Linked DNA regions of Anolis sagrei. The protein of the gene in region 1 purifies or fractionates together with the protein of each later gene. This does not show direct contact. Links are inferred from orthologs where the notes say so. Each region holds a gene or a part of one and is shown on either strand. Other genes may lie near its edges. The genes, in order: SUPT16H and TOP1.

Region 1 (6,316 bases):
CAGCTTGGGAGTTCTCCTGGATTCATCACTGATCCTGGAACCCAAGGTCTTGACGGTAGCCGGGGGAGCTTTTGCACAATTAAAACTTGTGCGGCAGCTGCGCCCATACCTTGAGAAGCTAGACTTGGCCACAGTGGTACAAGCTCTTGTTACATCTAGAATAGACTACTGCAATGCATTCCACGTGGGGCTGCCTTTGAAGACTGTTTGGAAGTTTTGAGTGGCCCAATGGGTGACAGCCAGATTGCTAAAAGGAGCACCACACAGGGAACAATCAACCTTTGTTATGCCAGCTCCACTGGCTGCCGGTCTGCTATGGAGAACAATTCATAGTGGTGGCTCTAGCCTTTAAAGTCCTAAACGTTTCCAGCCCAGCTTATCTGTCAGAATGTATCTCCCCCTATGAACTAGCCTGGATGCTAAAATCTTCTGGGGAGGCCCTACTCTCGAAGCCTCCCCCTTCCCCAGCACGACTGGTGGGGATGAGAGACAGGGCCTTCTCAGTGGTCGCCCCTCAACTATGGAACACCCACAATGCAATATTCAAAAATGAAGTTAAGACAAACAAATCAGATTGGACCATTACTGCAGGTTTAGATACTATGGTTTTAATTAGTTATTTAAATGTATTTATTTATATGGTTTATTATAATTTCAACGATCAATGTGTTGTATATTTATTTGATTTTATGTTGCCATGTGGCACTGAATCATTGCCAAATTGGAAGCCGCTCTATGGGGTAGAGATTGAGCAGGGTAAAAAATGCAGTAAATAATCTATTTAAATAAAAATATAATGTTCATTTGTGGGATTAACATAACACAAAAACCTCTGGGCGAATTGATACCAAATTTGGACACAATATACCTTTCAGGGCAACGAATGACCACCACTCATAAAAATACTGAAAAACACAGCAGAAGGGACTTAAAAGCCAAAAAAGCAAAAAGACACTACAGCGCATGTACAAAAACAACTCTCCCTGGCAAACAAAACACACAATAGCATATTCACGTTCTCTTCCAGACTACAGCTCCCATCATCCCCTAGACCAGGCCCTTTAGGAGAGGAGGATGATCCAAATGCACTGCTTTCAAGCTTTCTTCTCTTTGGATTTCTTTGAGAGCATCTCAATCCCTGCGTATTTCCAATTTCCTTTTCCTTGACTGCAACTCCCAGCAATCCTCCAGATAGATAAGATAGATAGATTAGATAGATAGGTAAATAGATCGATCAGGGGGACAGCTGGGAGTTGCAGTCCAAAAATAGGTAGAGAAGGGAGAAAGGAGAGTAAGAAAAGGGAAAGAAAAATGGGGGGAAGGAAGGGAAGAGGAGGAGAAGGAAGAAAGGAAAGAGGGAGGGAAGGTTGGCCACAGCAACGTGTGGCAGGTACAGGTAGTCTATATCTATATAAATACAAATGTAATGTTCGTTTGTGGGATTATCATAACTCAAAAACCACTGGATGAATTGACACCAAATTTGGACACAAGACACCCATCAGGCCAATGAGTGACCATCATTCAAAAAAATGATTTTGTCATTTGGGAGTTGTAGTTGCTGAGATTTATAGTTCACCTACAAACAAGGGGCATTCTGAACCCAACCAACAATGGAATCGAACCAAACTTGGCACACAGGACTCCCTTGACCAACAGAAAATTCTGGAAGGGTTTGGTGGGCATTGACCTTGAGTTTGGGAGTTGTAGTTCACCCACATCCAGAGAGCACTGTGGACCCAAACAATGATGGATCTGGACCAAATTTGGCACGAATACTACATATGCCCGAATATGAACACAGATGGAATTTGGGGGAAGTAGACCTTGACATTAGGGAGTTGTAGTTACTGGGATTTATAGTTTCCCTACAATCAAACCCCACCAACAACAGAATTGGGCCAAACTTCCCAAACAGAACCCCCATGACCAACAGAAAATACGATATTTTCTGGTGTTCTTTTGTGACCCTTCTGACACCCCCTCCCAACCCCCAGATTGAAAAATGTTGCCTTAAGGCCATTCGGTCCAACTCCCTTCACCAGGTCAAGAAAACATAATCAAAGCCCTCCTGACAAAGAGCCATCCAGCTATAGATATAGATTATATATGATTCACACACACAAATATGTTAGGACAGATATAATAAATTTGAAAGGCGCCCCTAAAGAAGGACAATTATATGTTGCATGTTCCAGAGTAGGCAAACCACACAATCTCTACATCAACACTGACAAAGAAACAACAAGAAGTACTGTTTACCCACCAGCATCAAAAAATTACATATATTAGAAACCAACACTTTCGCATTACTTTATTTTCCAGATCACCAGACTGGGCCACAGCAACGCATGGCAGGGGACGGCTAGTCTAAATAAATAAAAATGTAATGTTCGTTTGTGGGATTAACATAACTCAAAAACCACTAGACGAATTGATTCCAAATTTGGACACAACACACCTTTCAGGGCAATGATTGACCATCACTCATAAAAACACAGAAAAACACTGCAGAAGAAACTTGAAAAGCAAAAAAACTCCCCAAAAATTACATTACAGTGCATGCGTAAAACTATATATATATATACACACACACACACGCAAACATGTATACACAAATATATACACACACAAAACACATATAAGCAGACTGGGCCACAGCAACGCTTGGCAGGGGACGACTAGTATATCTATCTGTATAAATAAAAATGTAATGTTCGTTTGTGGGATTAACATAACTCAAAAACCACTGGACGAATTTATATCAAATTTGGACACAAGACACCTAACAACCCAATGTATGTCCTTCACTCAAAAAAATGATTTTGTCATTTAGGAGTTGTAGTTGCTGGGATTTATAGTTCACCTACAATCAAAGAGCATTCTGAACCCCAGCAACGATGGTATTGAACCAAACCTGGCACACAGTTCTCCCATGACCAATACTGGAAGGGTTTGGTGGGCAGTGTCCTTTGGTTTTGGAGTTGTAGTTCACTTACATCCAGAGATCACTGAGGACTCAAACAATGATGGATCTGGACCAAACTCTACACGAATACTCAATATGCCCAAATGTGAACACTGGTGGAGTTTGGGGGAAATAGAATCTTGAAATTTGGGAGTTGTAGTTGCTGGGATTTATAGTTCACCTACAATCACAGCAACCTGTGGCAGGGGACGGCTAGTTAATAATAATAATAATAATAATAATAATAATCTTGTTGTGCGGAAACAAATATTCCAAAATCCTCCAACAACCCCTCCCCCATCCCTTAAACAGTTATCTCAGGTCAAGAAAACCCAGACGATTTCGTTACTTAGTTACTTGGCGATTTCGTTACTTAGTTACTTAGCAATTTCGTTACTTAGGTAGTAGGTTTGGTGACTTGCCCTCAACCCCAGCTAACATGGAGGGCTGGCTGAATGCTTTCCAGGGGAGAAGCATTCTGAAGTGGCGACACGAGGTGGAGGGAGGAAGTGAGGAAAGGCCCAGGCCTGGAAGGTAGCTAGGCCTCTCTCCTCGCCCTCGGAGCCCTCACCTGCCAGTTGCTGTAGAGCCGCTTGATGCGACGGTAGTAGGCCTCGCGGTCCAGACTCAGCGCCATGGAAGCGGCGGCAGAAGCGGCAGCGGCGGCGACTCCTCCCCTCCTCAGCTGCCTCCGTCGCTGCGCCGCCGCAAACCCCGCCTCCGCCCTTGATTGGTTGGATCGCTAGTCCGTTCACACCTCTCCGCCATCCTTTTCCACTTCATTGGTCGACTTCTCCGTCTGTTAAACAACGCCCGCCTCCTTCCTCCTCGATTTGATAGGGCTCTGAGTCCCGCCTTACGCAAGCCCCGCCTCCTACCCCCATTTTTATTGGTTGGTTTGTGAGTCCGTTCGTTCTCAAGCCCAACCCTCAGGAGCCAGCTCATTTCTTAATTGGTTGTTTCGTCCATCCATCCGTTTCACAAGTCCCGCCTCCAGCCGACACCACGCTTCTTGATTGGTTAATCCGACCGTCCGTTCGTTTTTTCTCTCTCTTTTCCTCTCACGCTGCCAAAACCTCGGAAGTGAAAGTCTCCCTCCACCAACCGTATCTCCTCCCTCCCCCTCCACTTGGCTACGTCACTTTCTCGCGACTTTTTCCATTTCCTGTTCTTTAATTATCCCTCTCCCTATTAAAACAAATAAATATTTTTTTAAAAAAAATTAAAATAATTTTAATTAATAATTTTAATTAATATTATTAAAATAAATAATAAAATTCTTAAAATGAGACGACTTTTTTTCCAGTTTTGTTGTTTAATTATCCCTCTCCCTATTAAAAAATATTAAATATTAAAAATATTTATTTAAAAAAATAAAATAATTTTAATATTCTTAAAATATTAATATTATTAAAAATAGATAATAAAATTCTTAAAATGAGACGACTTTTTCCATTTCCCGTTGTTTAATTATCCCTCTCCCTATTAAAAATATTTAAATATACACTTTTTAAAATATTAAAATAATTTTAATTAATAATTTTAATTAATATTATAAAAATAAATAATAAAATTCTTAAAATGAGACAACTTTTTCCATTTTCTGGAAAAATAGGGAGAGGGATAATTATATATATATATCTATATATATATATAATTAAAATATTAATATTATTAAAAATAAATAATAAATTCTTAAAATGAGACTTTTTTCCATTTCCTGTTGTTTAATTATCCCTCTTCCTATTAAAAATATTTAATATATATATATTAAAATTAAAATATCTTTATATTTTTAAAATATTAATATTATTAAAAATAAAAAATAATATTAATAAAATTAGACGACTTTTTCCATTTCATATTTTTATATTATAAAATATTAATATTATTAAAAATAAATAAAATTCTTAAAATGAGAGGACTTTTTCCATTTCCTGTTGCTTAATTATCCCTCTCCCTATTAAAAAATTATATATATATATATATATATATAAATTAAAATATTTTTATATTATTAAAATATTAATATTATTAAAAATAAATGATAAAATTCTTAAAATGAGATAACTTTTTTCCATTTCCTGTTGCTTAATTATCCCTCTCCCTATTAAAGACGTTTAATATGTTTTAAAAAATAAAATAATTTTAATATTATTAAAATATTAATATTATTAAAAATGAATAATAAAATTATTAAAATGAGACGATTTTTTCCATTTTCTCTTGCTTAATTATCCCTCTCCCTATTAAAAATATTTTAATATTTTTAAAAAAAATAAAATAATTTTTATATTATTAAAATATTAATATTATTAAAAATAAATAATAAAATTCTTAAATTGAGACTAAAATTCTTCAACTGAGACGAATTTGGGAGAATAGTTAACAAACGTCGTAGATATTTTAAAATAATGTTTATGCAATATGTGTTATTACTGCTGAATAATAATAATAAACCTTATAACCACCTTTATTTTGTTCCTTACTCCCTTATTTTTTGAAAGCGGTAACTGCGCATGCGTCACTCCTTCGACCTCCCCCCCCGCTCTATTTTTCCCCTTCCCGCCAGATGGGCACGTGACTATTTCACTCGCCTCCCTCTTAAAGCCGACTGCGCATGCGTGCTATGGAAAGGCCACCCATGATGTCCTCCTGTCATTTACAGAGAGTTAAAAGGCTAAAGCATGTGGACAATTTTATCAGAAACGAAGAAACCATGAAAATGAACAAAATCTGGCTTTGTTGTTGTTGTTCATTCGTTCAGTCGTCTCCGACTCTTCGTGACCTCGTGGACCAGCCCACGCCAGAGCTCCCTGTCGGCCGTCACCACCCCCAGCTCCTTCAAGGTCAGTCCAGTCACTTCAAGGATGCCATCCATCCATCTTGCCCTAGGTCGGCCCCTCTTCCTTTTGCCTTCCACTTTCCCCAGCATAATTGTCTTCTCTAGGCTTTGCTGTCTCCTCATGATGTGGCCAAAGTACTTCAACTTTGTCTCTAGTATCCTTCCTTCCAGTGAGCAGCCGGGCTTTATTTCCTGGAGGATGGACTGGTTGGATCTTCTCGCAGTCCAAGGCACTCTCAGCACTTTCCTCCAGCACCACAGCTCAAAAGCATCGATCTTCCTTCGCTCAGCCTTCCCTAAGGTCCAGCTCTCACATCCGTAGGTTACTACAGGGAATACCATGGCTTGGACTAGGCGGATCTTTGTTGCCAGTCTGATGTCTCTACTCTTTACTATTTTATCGAGACTGGACATTGCTCTCCTCCCAAGAAGTAAGCGTCTTCTGATTTCCTGGCCACAGTCTGCATCTGCGGTAATCTTTGCGCCTAGAAATACAAAGTCTG
Region 2 (6,316 bases), on another chromosome or scaffold:
ATCTTATGAGGCACCTAAACAATTAGGATGAGGAAACTATGAGGAAAGCTGTAAGCTCCCTAAAAACAATATATAATGGTGTTGTGTACTGGAAGGAATGTATAATGCTGTAAGTAATAATGTAATTTAAAACAGCCATTCAAGATAAATTATCCTTCCAAAGCGGTTTTAAAACAGTCAGGAAAACTACATCAGTCTATGAACAGGCACAAAACAGAAGCTACATATAAAGAAAGCATGCCAACAGGAGACTTTTCACTGCTTTATCTAGAATAGAAACCATTTTATACATCAAATTAATCATATAATAACTGAGAAGGCAAAGACATTGCAATACAGTATAGTATGCAAACATAATAGCAATTTCAGACTTAGTAGCAAGGTGAGAAAGGACATACCAGTGGAACTGCAATTCTTTAAATGATACTGAAGATATTGTGGTTACCTGAGCAATCAGTGTGACACCAAAGATAAAGGACTGTTTGGGCCTGCTATGACTGTCCTCGTACAATGTCAAGTTACTGGTATTCCTTTTAAAAACCCAAGAAAACATCTAGGAAAATATTTTCATATCCTAAGTACAGGACACACTTTTCACTAAGGTACCAGACATGTGTTAAGATGAGAGAACCAGCAAAATTCAGTGTCTGAATATAAAGACTCCAGAGAAAGGCATGTTCGATAAACGTTTATACAGTCAGAAGATTACAAGAAGAAACACTGAAATCCATGAGATCTTAGACACATTTTAAGTATAAAGTTAGCACTGAACTGTCCCCTGGAGTACAACACACAGACATTCATATCCTTGAATATATATCAGTCAGCAAATGATATCCTTAATAAGAGTGGCAAAAAATCTCCCTATTTACATTCAAGCAACTCTTTGAAATTCAGCTGGTGATTGAGAAAGTTCTATACATTGCTTTTTAAAAAATACTAAAAGGTTTAAATCCAAATTATCTACCAGAAATATTCAGAAAAATAAATATTTCAATGTATATATATAAATATATATATAGAGAGAGAATATCTGTATTGCATTTTACATATGTTTCTGATAACTTTTGTGTATTAATAAATAAGTATTAAAATTAAAACAGAACACGTTGCACAGATCATGAAAACGTTTTATGAAAGTGAGCATAAAAACACTTTAAAGTCAATATATAATTCTTTTTAAGTGGAGGAAGCAATTTTGACATTTCACAGATATGTTATTTCAAATGTACTTGTCTCTCCTCTAGACCTTATTCCCTATAATCAAAGGAAAGCGAAATCTTCCTATTAAACAGGGGGGTTTTTTGGAGGGGGGGGCGCTGATAACAGACTGGTATCCCCTCTCCTTTTGCTTTTGTACATGAATTGCATACAACTGCCCAACTTTAGCAAAGTGATGCTGGCTACTATTCTGGAACTGCCCACCATTCTACCTTTCTCTTTCAGAATACAATAATTAGAGCCCCACCCAGCCAGTTCTGCATCTTGGTCTTAAATATGTTATAAATTGAAAGAGATGAAGCATTTGTTCAAGAGCAACATGTTGCAACCACGTCTGGTTTATAGGGGGATGGGGGACTGAAAGAAACACAACTGGAGGAGGGAAGAAGATAGGAATAAAGAGGTAGGCTACTAAATCAAGGCTTTTTAAAAGCAAAAAAAGAACAAAAACCCCACAGGATCCCCCCACCCGCATCCAGAAAGGGTGATTTAGAACACGGAGGTGGTTATTTCGCATGTTTTCACTGCAGGAGGCTCCTTGCGGGCAGCTCGAGGGAGGAGGAGAAGGAGAAAGAGACACACAGGGAAGAGAGAGAAAAAGAAAATGGCGCAGAGACTAAGTCCCGACCGTCGACAAGGCGACTTTCCAGGGGGGAATCCGGGCCCAAGAAAGGCTCAAAAACACCCGGGGAGGCCAGAATCGGGGTCTCCACAGCCCTCTCTCCCGGGAAATGGGGTCGGATGGGCAAGGGGCTTTAAGATTGGGGAGTATCAGGAAGCCCGATGGGAACAATGGGGCCGGTGAGCGAGGAGACGGGACTTAGTCTCTGGGACGCCATGTCTGTCCTTTGCCATCCTCAGCAAGCACAGAACGAGGGAGAAAGGAGGCAGGGGAGGGGAAGCAAGGCAAGGCCGGCACTCACCGTTTGCTCGGAAATCTGGATCGATCTGGGGGGAAGGAGGAAGGGGGCGAAGATTAGATTTATTTTTTAAGGAATCTTAAGAACTATTTCACCCTTGAGAACAAAAAAAAAATGCCTTTAAAAGAAACACCAGTCAAGGTGAGGGGGAGAAATGAATGCCCTAAATACTCTAAAAATATATAAACTACACAAATTAAAGACATATATACATACAGGGCAAATTCATTTACATGTATATATCCATTCTTCCCAACCATAAGAATTATTTCACTTCAAAAAATGCATTGATAAAACACCAGTCAAGGTGAGGGGAGAAATGAATGCCCTAAATACTCTAAAGATATATAAACTGGACAAATTCAGGATTATATACACACACAAAGGGCAAATTCATTAACATGTACATTTATGTATCCACATATATTAATATACCCCTTCCTCCCAGCTCTAAGAATTAATATATTGATAACACACCAATGTATTGATAAAACACCAGTCAAGGTGATGGGAGAAATGAATGCCCTGTATATATAAACTGGACAAATTCAGGATAATAATATATATAAACACATACATACAGGGCAAATTAATTAACATGTATTTTTACATGCCCACACATATTAATATATCCCTTCCTCCCAACTCTGAGAATTATTTCACATGGCAAAAACTGTACTAATGTATTGATAAAACTCCAATGTATTGATAAAACACCAAGCTGATGTGAGAAATGAATGCCCTGAATATATACACTGGACAAATTCAGGATGATAATATATATAAACGCATGCATACAGGGCAAATTAATTAACATGTATTTTTTATATACCCACATATATTAATATATCCCTTCCTCCCAGCTCTAAAAAATATTTCACATGGCCAAAAATGTACTAATATATTGATAAAATACCAATGTATTGATTTCACATCAGTCAAGGTGAGGGGGGGGGGAATTAATGCCCATTTATAGGGCATGTATATTTATGTATCCACATATATTAATATATCCCTTCCTCCCAGCTCTTAAGAATTATTTCACATACCAAAAAATGTACTAATTAAACACCAGTCAAGGTGAGGGGGGAGAAATGAATGTCCTTAAATATATTTATTAATATATCCCTTCCTTCCAGCTCTAAGAATTATTTCACATACCAAAAAAGTACTAATTAAACACCAGTCAAGGTGAGGGGGAGAAATGAGTGTCCTTAAATATATTGGTATGTTTCAAATTCAAATAATTGACACCCATACATATATATCCCCCCCCCTCTTTTTTCCCCACCTGGCTTCCTCGTGTTTGTTTCTGTGTTTCCCCAGCTCTCCTTTAAATGTATTTTAATGTTTTGAAGGATGTCCTTAAAAGGTGATTGAATCAAGAAGGGAGATCTTGGAGAGAGTGGGAAGTCTGAGACAAAATGGGGACGACTCCACAGGCACAATGCAGGCCATGTCTGGGTTTAGATGTGGCCTGGGCAAATTCCAGCCCTCCAGGTGTTTTGGACTCCAACTCCCACAATTCCTAACAGCCTACCGGCTGTTAAGAATTGTGGGAGTTGGAGTCCAAAACACCTGGAGGGCTGGAATTTGCCCAGGCCTGAAGGAGAGAAAAAGAGAGGCCTAAAAGCCTCTTTTAGAGTGTTGCACACTTCCCAGGAGGAAGACAATGGCTCTCCTCTTTCAGGCAAGCCTCACTTTTCCCTAGGCTGTGAGGGAACTCGCCCAGCTAGGCCTTATTCCGAATGAGGGCCTAGCTTGGATGGGGAAAGCCCCCCCTCTTCGCCCTTCCCCCTCATGGGCGAAGGTAGGCCGGAGCGTCGGTTAGCTTCTCTCAGAGCTATAGAGGAAGGCCTCGTCCTCACCTGGGAGTCGTTGTGCAGCTGATCCCCACTCATTGCCTACGACGAGGCTACGTGCCGGGCGGGGAGGCGAGAGGGGAAGCCTGGCGAGACGCCTGCGGAGGAAAGCCTCGAGGCCGAAGAGAGAACGCGGCCCCTTCGCTACGGAGCAGCTACTTGTGTAACAGACTAAGTCCCGATTTCCTCCCACTGCGCAGGCGCGGCGGCTTTTAAACCGCAGGGCGGGGCTAAGAACGGACGCCACCTTACGGAAAAAACGGGCGCCTTCTTTGCATAAACCCGGCCTACTTGCCTTCTCCCCTCCAATCCGGAGCCGCGAGGGGTTATATTTACATACAAGCCACGCCCCCTGATAGAACTAGCCTTGTGCCCCTTCGGCCACGCCTCTTCCTTCTCGGCCATTTAGGAAAATGCCGGGTGCACTGCTTTTCTTTCTTTCTCTCTATTTACATATCCGGTCACGCCCCTTCCGGGGCATCCAATGAGCGAGCAAGACGAGGGATCGCTATATTTGCATACAGGGAGTACGCTGGAGCGAGGTACCCGCAGCACATTGTGCAAGAGACAGCATGGGCGTAGTGCGCATGCGCTTTCTCGCCCACTGTTTCTCCCCTACTTATAGAAACTCTTCCCAACGCTTGCGACACTTCTGAAGAATTGCCATCAGGTACATGAAGTACCGGCGCCATGTGCTGGAGGAGCCGCTTGTCATGTGCTTCAGCCCTGCTTGCAAATCCCTATCAAGGGCAGCAACTCTGGGAAGACTTTAAACACGATGTCTTTTTGCACTGCTCCAGGCAGAGTATCCCTCTGAAAGTCTTGAGACCAGAGGTGCGTCTGTATTGTAGAATTAATGCAGTTTGACCCCACTGCCATGTCTCAAGGCTATGGGATTCTGGGATTTGTAGTTTAGCAAGGTCTGTAGCCGCCTCTCCCAAATAGTGCTGGTGCCTCACCAAACTACAACTCCCATGATTCCAAAGCAGTGAGTCATAGCCATTCAGGCAGTGTCAAACTGTATTAATTATGCAATGCAGATGCACTCCTGGACTCAAGCTTTTCAGAAAAGGATAATAATAATAATAATAATAATAATAATAATAATAATAATCTATATAAATAAAAAATGTAATGTTCTGGGTTGTAGGTAGGATGCTTGCCATAGATGCAGGCGAAACGTCAGGAGAGAATGAGATAAAAATGAAAGAGAAATATTTCTGGGAGAAGCTCGTAGGAGACGGAGTAGTGGAAACAGGCCTTCACACCGGCAGAAGGAAGTACAATATGAGGATGACATTATGGGCGGAGCAACAAAAAGAGGTATATGGTCACTCTCCAAAGGCGCAACAGAAAAGCCAAGTTTTGAGATCTTTCTTGAAGGCTGCTAAGGTGGGGGCTTGCCTAATCTCACCAGGCAGTGAGTTCCAGATCCGGGGGGCCACAGCGGAAAAGGCTCTCTCTCTCATTTCCACAAGTCGAACCTGTGATGGAGGAAGGGGTGAAAGGAGGACCTCCCCCGAGGATACTCAGCCCAAAGTAGTGTTTTGGATTTTGGAATATCTGTATTTCTGTATGTGTACACCATAATCATCACCTTGAAGATGGAATTTATTTGTATTTTCATAGACACCTCAGCCACCCATATGGGCAATTTTGGAGTATTTTGGAATTCTGGATTAAGGATGCTTACACTGAACTTCCTGACTGTGAGGGCCATTCAGCAGTGGAACTCTCTGCCCCAGAGTGTGGTGGAGACTCCTTATTTGGAAGCTTTTAAACAGAGGATGGAAGGCCATCTGTCAGGGATGCTTTGAATGCAATTTTCCTGCTTCTTGGCAGGGGGTTGGACTGGATGGCCCATGAGGTCTCTTCCAACTCTATGGTTCTATTTTATCTCAGTTACCTCTGCTGTGAGAGAATCAGCCGTCTACAAAGACCTTGATGTCTTGCAATCCTGTAGGGAGGTTTGTCTCATGTCCCCCCTAAAACAGTGGATGTGTCTCTTAATGAGACATGCCACATTATCACAGGGTGTCTGCACCCACAGGGTGTCTGCACCCTACACTACTGGAGAAACTACGCTGTTTAGCCGGTATTGCACCACTGGGAAGTAGCAGTTAATTATGAAAGGACCAAGACAGTGACATCTCCAGCCCATCCCCTGTTCGGATATCAGCCAGCACACTAATGACTTAAATCAAGAAACAATTTTCTAAGATTGACAGAGACATTCACTGGAACAACTCAGCAAGCAAGAGTCCAAAAGTGGCAGCTAAAACCCAAAACCTCAATCCATGGCCCCTTCTGGGC

Evidence for each region.
Region 2: the proteins of SUPT16H (region 1) and TOP1 fractionate together in Homo sapiens (co-fractionation; 3 studies listed by BioGRID and IntAct, with this or other methods). This does not show direct contact. The link is inferred for Anolis sagrei from reciprocal best matches to the Homo sapiens genes SUPT16H and TOP1.

Annotation. Positions count from the first base shown.
Region 1 is NC_090026.1:11,052,873-11,059,188, reverse strand, and holds the start of SUPT16H (FACT complex subunit SPT16), read right to left. Parts: upstream 3,676-6,316; 5' UTR 3,606-3,675; coding exon 3,540-3,605; intron 1-3,539. UniProt on the Homo sapiens protein: Component of the FACT complex, a general chromatin factor that acts to reorganize nucleosomes. The FACT complex is involved in multiple processes that require DNA as a template such as mRNA elongation, DNA replication and DNA repair.
Region 2 is NC_090024.1:216,028,611-216,034,926, reverse strand, and holds the start of TOP1 (DNA topoisomerase 1), read right to left. Parts: upstream 4,197-6,316; 5' UTR 4,043-4,196; coding exon 4,010-4,042; intron 2,170-4,009; coding exon 2,145-2,169; intron 1-2,144. UniProt on the Homo sapiens protein: Releases the supercoiling and torsional tension of DNA introduced during the DNA replication and transcription by transiently cleaving and rejoining one strand of the DNA duplex.